Linked DNA regions of Sus scrofa. The protein of the gene in region 2 purifies or fractionates together with the protein of the main gene of each other region. This does not show direct contact. Links are inferred from orthologs where the notes say so. Each region holds a gene or a part of one and is shown on either strand. Other genes may lie near its edges.

The links. Proteins that work in one complex are often made in the same cells at the same time.
Region 1: the proteins of POLR2J (region 2) and GPN1 purify together in Homo sapiens (affinity purification with mass spectrometry; 5 studies listed by BioGRID and IntAct, with this or other methods). This does not show direct contact. The link is inferred for Sus scrofa from reciprocal best matches to the Homo sapiens genes POLR2J and GPN1.

The regions. Positions count from the first base shown.
Region 1 is NC_010445.4:111,544,432-111,548,078, reverse strand, and holds part of GPN1 (GPN-loop GTPase 1), read left to right. Parts: intron 1-3,260; coding exon 3,261-3,368; intron 3,369-3,647. UniProt on the Homo sapiens protein: Small GTPase required for proper nuclear import of RNA polymerase II (RNAPII). May act at an RNAP assembly step prior to nuclear import.
Region 2 is NC_010445.4:9,813,720-9,818,028, reverse strand, and holds the start of POLR2J (DNA-directed RNA polymerase II subunit RPB11-a), read left to right. Parts: upstream 1-1,371; 5' UTR 1,372-1,472; coding exon 1,473-1,525; intron 1,526-2,653; coding exon 2,654-2,743; intron 2,744-4,085; coding exon 4,086-4,260; intron 4,261-4,309. UniProt on the Homo sapiens protein: Core component of RNA polymerase II (Pol II), a DNA-dependent RNA polymerase which synthesizes mRNA precursors and many functional non-coding RNAs using the four ribonucleoside triphosphates as substrates.

The DNA of each region.
Region 1 (3,647 bases), about 100 Mb from region 2:
GGGCCGCACTTGCGGCATATGGAGGTTCCCAGGCTAGGGGTCAAATCGGAGCTGTAGCCACTGGCCTACGCCAGAGCCACAGCAGTGTGGGATCCGAGCTGCATCTGCAACCTACACCACAGCTCACGGCAACGCCGGATCCTTAACCCACTGAGCAAGGCCAGTGATCGAACCTGCAACCTCATGGTTCCTAGTCAGATTTGTTAACCACTGCGCCACAACGGGAACTCCTTATTTTCCTTTAATCTAGAACAGCTCCTTAGTGTGTGTTTGTATTTCATGACTAGTATTTTTGGGGTTTTTTGGTTTTGTTTTGTTTTTAGGGCCACACCCGCAGCATATGGATGTTTGCAGGGTAGGGGTCTAATCGGAGCTGCAGCTGCTGGCTTACACCACAGGCACAGCAACTCAGGATCCAAGCTGCTTCTGTGACCTATGCCATGGCTCACGGCAATGCCGGATCCTTAACCTATGCCATGGCTCACGGCAATGCCGGATCCTTAACCCACTGAGTGAGCCAGGGATAGAACCCACCACCTCATGGTTCCTAGTCAGATTTGTTTCCACTGTGCTACGACAGGAACTCCGACATTGGTATTTTTGAAGTGTATGGGACTTATATCTTGTACAAAATGTGACTCAGTTTGGGCTTGATGTTTCCTCATGATTTGATTCAGGTGGCTCCTTTTTAGCAGAACTTTACAGATGTGAAGTTGTGTTTTTTCCGTGTATCATGTCACTAGGCACGGATGAAGATTTGTCTTTGGTCACTTACTTCAAGTGGTGTCTGCTAGGTTTTTCATCATAAAGTTATTTTCTCCTTCATGATAAGTATTTTGTGGGGTGAGGCTTTGATTAATAAAGGCCCTTTGAGTTTTCAAATGTTCACACACCAGTTTTAATATCCCTTATTCTAGGTAGGGATAGTCTCCATTTTTCTGTGATACATGTTGCAGATATTCTCTCCCTGTTTGTCAGTTGCCCTTTGACTCTTTGTTCATGGTGGTGTTTTGCCATGCAACAGTTACTGTTTTGTTTCATTTTGATGTAGTCAAATTTATTTATATTTTATTGCACCTGGTTTTGAGTCATGGTTGAGAATCCTTTGCCTACACCTGTTTAAGAGGCATTCATCCCGATTGTATTATAGTATTTATATGGTTTTATTTATCTACATTTGGATCTTTGTTCCATTTAGAATTTATTGCCGGGTATGGTGTGAGGTCTCTGTTACCTTTTTCATAAAGAGTTGTACCCACATGACTTATTAAAAAGTCTACCTTTGTCCCAGTGAGGAGATGTAACCTGTATCATATACCCAAGTTTCATATGTACTTGGATATATTTCTGAATTACCTATTTTCTTCTTCTAGACCGTGTGCCTATACTATGCTGCTTTAATTATGTAGAAGCTTTATAGTATGTTTTAATATCTAGTAGGGCTAGTCCTCCTCAGAGTTATTTTTAGTATTTCCCTGATTATTCTTGCATGTTTATTTTTCCATATGACCTTTAGTATCAACGTATATGGCTTGCTAAAAAAAGCTCTTTAGTATTTATATTGGGATTGTATTATATTTGCTCATTAATTAAATAGTTGACATCTCTATGATGTTGACTCTTCCTGAGAACAATGAATGTGTTCACATTTGTCAGGTCTATTTTTGTGTCTTTCAGGAGTATTTTCCTCATGTAAGTTTTGTTAAATTTGTTAAATTTACTGGTGTTTTTTATTGTTTGAGTTAGTTTTGTCGTCGATTGCCTAGGGGTTCCTAGGTTCGTGCTCAAATTTAATATATACCCACCTACCCACCCAGTCATTGGTGGACTAGTCTTTAAAGCAGTGAACTTCTGTTCATGACAGCTATTGTTATATGTCTAGTAGAGAATAGCAAAGCCATTTGGAGGAGGAGATGCTGGACCCTGGCTGGGATTACCAGTTAAATGAGCTTGCCTGTGCCATCTTTGTTGCAGTTCTCAGCAACATAAACATCTATGTGCTGTGGCCCTTGGGAATCACTCATGGATACTTGAAATGGCAAATGTTCAATTTGGTGCAAAGGGTCCAATGTACTTGGATAGCCTGTTAAAGGTTAAGGGAGTTTCAGTAAATTGTTTGCAGAAAATCACAGGTAGAGTTGCACAGTTCTTAGTTGGGCGCAGAATGAAGCACTGACTGTCAGCACATGTGTCATCGTCCTTTTTCAAGGCCTCTGGCCCCTTGAGATCTCTGCCTCTTGATGTTGCTGTTATTGGCCACCCTTGTTTCCCAGCTGAGCTTTATGTAACTTTTTACGCTCCTGAAGAGGGAGTGGTCATGACCTCCCATGGCTTTAGGTTACATGGCTTGGTTTTAGGTTCTCATAGAAACCAGTCCCCATGGGCTGCATCCACGGCCCTAGAATTACTTGATTAGACTTTTCCTGATCATTGGAGATCAGCTCTTATTCAGTTTCCCTGAGTAGGGAATTTCTTCAATTAATATATTTGCCTTTCCATTTCCCCCCCTCTTTTGCTTGAATAATACCTTGGCTCCTTTATCATTTCACCTCTATTCTCATCAGACTCTCTCTGAACTTAAATTTCCACCAGGAAGCTCCACACATTTACCTTTGACTCACCAGCACACTAGGTCTGCTCAAATGTCTTCAGCCTTCATAGGAAAAGTCATAGCTCTTCCAAGGTGAGAGCTAGTGAAAACAAATGATATTACTACTACGATAAGCTACTTGAAAGTTATTTTCCTTAACTTAAAAATGAGACCTCTTGGGTTATTGGTCTCATGAAAGCACTTTGTGAAATAAACTAGTGTAGAAATGTTAAGTGGTATTAACAGTACATTTAGAAGAGATAAAATCTTATATTTGATCATGACCACTTTCATCCTGCCAATTTTTTTTTATAAAAGGACATTTTATTTTATTTTTTTGTCTTTTTAGGGCCACATCTGCAGCAAATGGAGGTTCCCAGGCTAGGAGTCGAATTGGAGCCACATCTGCTGGCCTGCATCACAGCCACAGCAATGCTGTATCTGAGCCGAATCTGCCACCTACACCACAGCTGATGGCCACGCTAGGTCCTTCACCCACTGAGTGAGGGGTCGAACCTGCATCCTCATGGTTACTAGTCAGATTTGTTTCTGCTGAGCCATAGCAGGAATTCCCATCCTGCCAATTTTTAATCAGTTACTTACTGATTTAAATCACTCTTTTGAGGAGGCCTATGTCATGGCATGCTACTGATAGGTGTTTTCTCTGTAGGCAGCTCATCTCCTATGCTGGACCCATCTGACTTGATCCTAACTCGTGGAACCTTAGATGAAGAGGATGAGGAAGCTGACAGTGATACTGATGATATTGACCACAGAGGTGAGAGGTGGCTGAGATGGCTCATGAAAACAGAACAGATGCTTCTCCTCATTGTTTGCCTGGGAACTTCTGGTTGTTGCGAGAAGACCTTATCCATGTAGCCAGTAATGCGGGAGAGAGGAAATGGTAAAGGGAACAGCACCAGGCAAGAGTTCCATATATTGAGAGTCCTGGCTTCCTACTGAATGGTTCACATGGAGCTGGATATTGCCTTTAGTCATGTGTCTTCTCATTTTTAGGTCCTAACTTAATTTGAGGAATTCAGGATTGTTTAATTGT
Region 2 (4,309 bases):
ACCTCAGGGTATCATTACTGTCATTGTCCTCTTTTCCTCCCCAGTTAAAGAGCCTCCACCCCCACCCACTTGGCCTGGAGAGTCTAGGTTGGTGTTGGCCTCCCCCAAAGGACATTTTCTCACTCCAGGGTTCAAGGCTCAAGTAGGAACTAGCCCTTCCCAGGAAGTGGTGGGGGAAGCTCCAGATTTCCTTGAGGGCCCCTTGGGTGTTGCCCAGCCCTAAAGAAACAACTGGGAAGCTGGTAGGGCTCCAGGAGCTAATCTGAACCACAGCCCCTGTTGCTTCAAAGCACTCAGGTAGGACTCTTAGGCGAAACTGTAGAAATACCAACCCACCAAAGCTAACTCATACACTTATCTTTTCAAGTTCTTCTCACACCTGTGTTGACTCAAAACAAAAACGACAACTTGAAATTTGCGAGTTAGCTTTCATCAGGGACCTTATTGAGGACCAGAGCCTGGGAGACAGCCTCTTTGCTAGCTCTGAGGAACTGTTCCAAAGAGATGAGAGAGAAGCCAGGATATTTAGGAGTTTTTGCTGAAAAACAAACATGTAGTCACGCATCGAAAGATTACTGCTAATCACGAAAGACAGACTTCTCAAGTTAATGATTTTAGTCTTTTTCTTTGGGGAGATGCAAGAATCCGAGCTCATTGAAATTGTTCCCTGATAGGCGTCTTAACTGTCTAAGGCCAGCACCCTGTTTTTCTCCGTCCCGAATGTCCCTCAGGGCTCATAGTCAGGGGCAGGGCAGTGGCTGGCAGGCAGCCTTCTTTGTTTACTGAAATGACAGGCAACATTTTTTCTTTGTCCTCACCTGTATATACCAACCTCTTCTCCAGCCACAACTGCCCCCACTAACAAGAAGCTCATTAGGCTACAAGCCCACTTGACAAGCCAGTGACCACTCAGCCAAGAGTCCTGTAGCGGTCTGCCTTGGCAAGGGGGTTATCTATACACAACAGTCTAGCCCAGAGGAGGCTTCTTGCACCTCCCCAGTGGCCACACCTGCCTACCCCACCAAGGCTCTACCACCCCAATGCTCCATTCTTCATTCGGAAGCCTCCTGCTGTGTACTCCAAGGGCACATTTCCAAAGAGGGATCAAGGGACAGCGGGAGTGGAAAGAACAGCTCAGGGTTCCGCTTGAAATGGACAAGGAGGTGTCAAAACCAATCACCCGCTAGTGATCTGAGCATGCGCCAAATTGCTCCCCCAGGTGAGCCCGGGAGGGGAGTCTCCGGATTCACGCGTGCGCAGAACAACCAGCTCATCTCGCCGGCTTTTCGCGTGCCTGAGCAAGATCCTCCAGACCGACAGGGGGCAATGAACTAGTTCCCACACGGGTTTGGCGCCGCTAGCGTAATCCGGAAGTAGCCGCTGACCCGGAAGTGGTCGGGCTCTAGGTTTCGGGAGGCGGTGGTGGTGGTGGCGGCGATAGCTGACTCTTTGGAGGTGGCCGCGGTGCTAGGATGAACGCCCCTCCTGCCTTCGAGTCGTTCTTACTCTTCGAGGGCGAGAAGAAGTAAGTGGAACCGGCCTGGGCGGGGAAGGTGGCGGGACCGTCAGCGCACGCAGGTTCTGGGGAGTCTCTGCCCGTCCTCTGTTGCGTGGGGACAGAAGCCACTTTTGCTCGAGCGTCTGCTCGGCCGAGAGCTTCACACCTGTGTCTGCCAAACTTAAGACAGTCCTAGGCGGTGGTGAGTCTCCCCGTTTTGCAGAGGAAACCAAGGCTCAGAGAGGTTAAGTAACAAAGTGGCCGGTCTGTATTCTGGGATCTGGTAGCCCCCTCACTGGTCTTCCCCTCCGCCGCCTTCATCCTTTTTGTTGCATCCAGAGGGATGGCTCTCAGACTCACACCGGATCTTCATTCGCTGGTGTAAAACCTCCAGGGACTGCTCATTGCTTGCAGAGGAAGCCAAGTGTAATCCAGTGCTCAGGCAGACTGGGCTTGGCTCCTGGATCCCCTATTTAAGGACTCTGTGGTTTTGGGCAGGTGATTTAATCTGCCCGAGGCCCACTTTCCCCATCTAGAAAAAGGGCTTATTACTGTATTAAATCATAGGTTATTCTCTAAGAGGAGATTAAACGAGATAGTTTATGTGAAGTATTTAGTCCTGGGCTCAGCACTGGCTCTTCTTTCTCATAATTACCTGTTTTGCAGGGCTCTGTGTTCTAGCCCCTGCCATCCCTGTCACTCTCCCTTGCGAGGCAGTAGCTCTCAGCTGGGGGCCATTTTGCCCCCCACCCCCCGCCCAAAGAACTTTGGCAGAGTCTGCAGATGTTTTTGATTGTCATATAGGGGATGCTCCTGGCATTTAGTGGGTAGAAGCCCGGGCTTCTGCCAGCATCCCGCAGTGTGTCATACGGCCCCCTGCAAACAAGAGTTGTCTGACCTAAAATGGCAGTGGTGCCAAGGTGGAGAAGGAGCAATCCAGAGTAGGCATGGGTCCCACAGAACCAGACGTGGCAGGGCTCGAGGTATAGCCACACTGCTGCTCTGAGAATGAGAGGTCTTCCTGATGAAGAGATGGGGAAAGGCTTCGAGGAGGAGGAGGAGGAGGTGGGGCTGAGCCTGCCTTGAAGGGCAGGGTTTAGAGTCCCGGAAGGAGGGAACCCCCAGCCCCCACCTGTCGCCTTTACCTCTTCCTAGGATCACCATCAACAAGGACACCAAGGTGCCCAATGCCTGTCTGTTCACCATCAACAAGGAAGACCACACGCTGGGAAATATCATTAAATCGTAAGCTCCAAGTCAAAGGCTTTTGGTGGTTGTGTTTAACGGGGCTCTTTGGAAGGACAGGCAAAAGTTCCAGATGATCTCAAGTCTTTCTAAGCTCCAGGAAGTCCTTCTGGGTGCTGGCTCTGGGAATTCACATCCTAGTATCTTTTCTTCAAAATGACACTGGCCCCTATCTGTTCACGTAGCTATGTGTCTGCGTTGGCTCAGTTATCTGGCTAAAGGAAGGGAATGTGCAGTGAGTTGCGAAGTAGGCCCGGTTGGGATGCTGTGCTCACGAGCGAGCGTGGGGAAGCAGTCAGGGTTGGCCACCCACCCTGCCACCGTTTGTGACATTGACCTTGATGATGCATGGTATTCTAAGATGGATGTGCCAGAGACTGTAGCTGCGTAGAATAAGGGAGGGCGTGGGAGAGGGGTTGTGGCCATCAGGTGCTCTATCCTGTGGGTACCTCATATTGGTTGGTGGGTGTTATTTGCACCGGTGAAGTCCTGGCCAGGTGGGTGGCCAGCAGTGTGATAGCCGCTCTGGCCCAGGGACTTGCTGTTTTGCTGCTGAGAAGGGCTACCAGTGAAGCGGTGTCTTTCCCAGGTTTGCAAGTTAGAGTCCGTGGGCAGGAGCCTACCCAGCCTCCTGGCATGAGCAGGGGCTGGCGAGGCCCACCTTCTGTCTGGAGGACTCTGGCCCAGAGCCAAGCCAGTGGTGCACCAAAGCTCTCCTGGGGCCCCGCTGGTCCCACAGTGTGAACCCAGTGTTCCCACCTGTGCCATCCTCACCCCCCAGTGCTCACAGTTGACAGGCCTGCTCTGGAGAAACCCCATGTGCTCACATGATGCAGGCTTCGCTCACAGCCTCAGGGAGGAGGACCTCAAGTGCCCGGAGGACTTCTCTTTCCACTTCAGTGACCGCTCAGAGCCTGGGCCCCTCCCGCTGCTGCTGCCTGTATTCACTGCACCGGAGGCCCTTTGGGGGCTCCATGTTCTGGCTTCCCGCACACTGGCTGGGTTTTTACTGCCTGGGGAGGTTTCTCTGGGCCACTGTGGGGTCCCTGATGTCCCCTGAGAGAGGAGGTTGCTGGGAGCCCTGTTCCTTAGGGAGGGCCATTGAGCATCGTGGAGGTAGGTGTGTTGGGAGAGGCGGCCCCATGTGGTCCATCTTCTTCAGTGTGTCTGTTTTACTTGAAGAGGGGACCCAAACAACTGAAGCTGAAGAGCAGCTGCCTTTGCTCCCAGGCCCCAACCCAACAGGAAGACGCCTTGGGTAGAGGGCCTGGGAAGCCGCAGAGGCCCGAGCCCCCGGGGCCCTGGCTCACCCTCCCTGCCCCCTGCCCGTCCCGTGTCCCAGGCAGCTGCTGAAGGACCCCCAGGTGCTCTTCGCTGGCTACAAAGTCCCGCACCCCTTGGAGCACAAGATCATCATCCGCGTGCAGACCACGCCGGACTACAGCCCACAGGAGGCCTTCACCAACGCCATCACGGACCTCATCAGCGAGCTCTCCCTGCTGGAAGAGCGCTTCCGGGTGAGCAGCTGGGCGCACAGCTGCGGCGGGGTCGAGGGGTCGGGGGGTC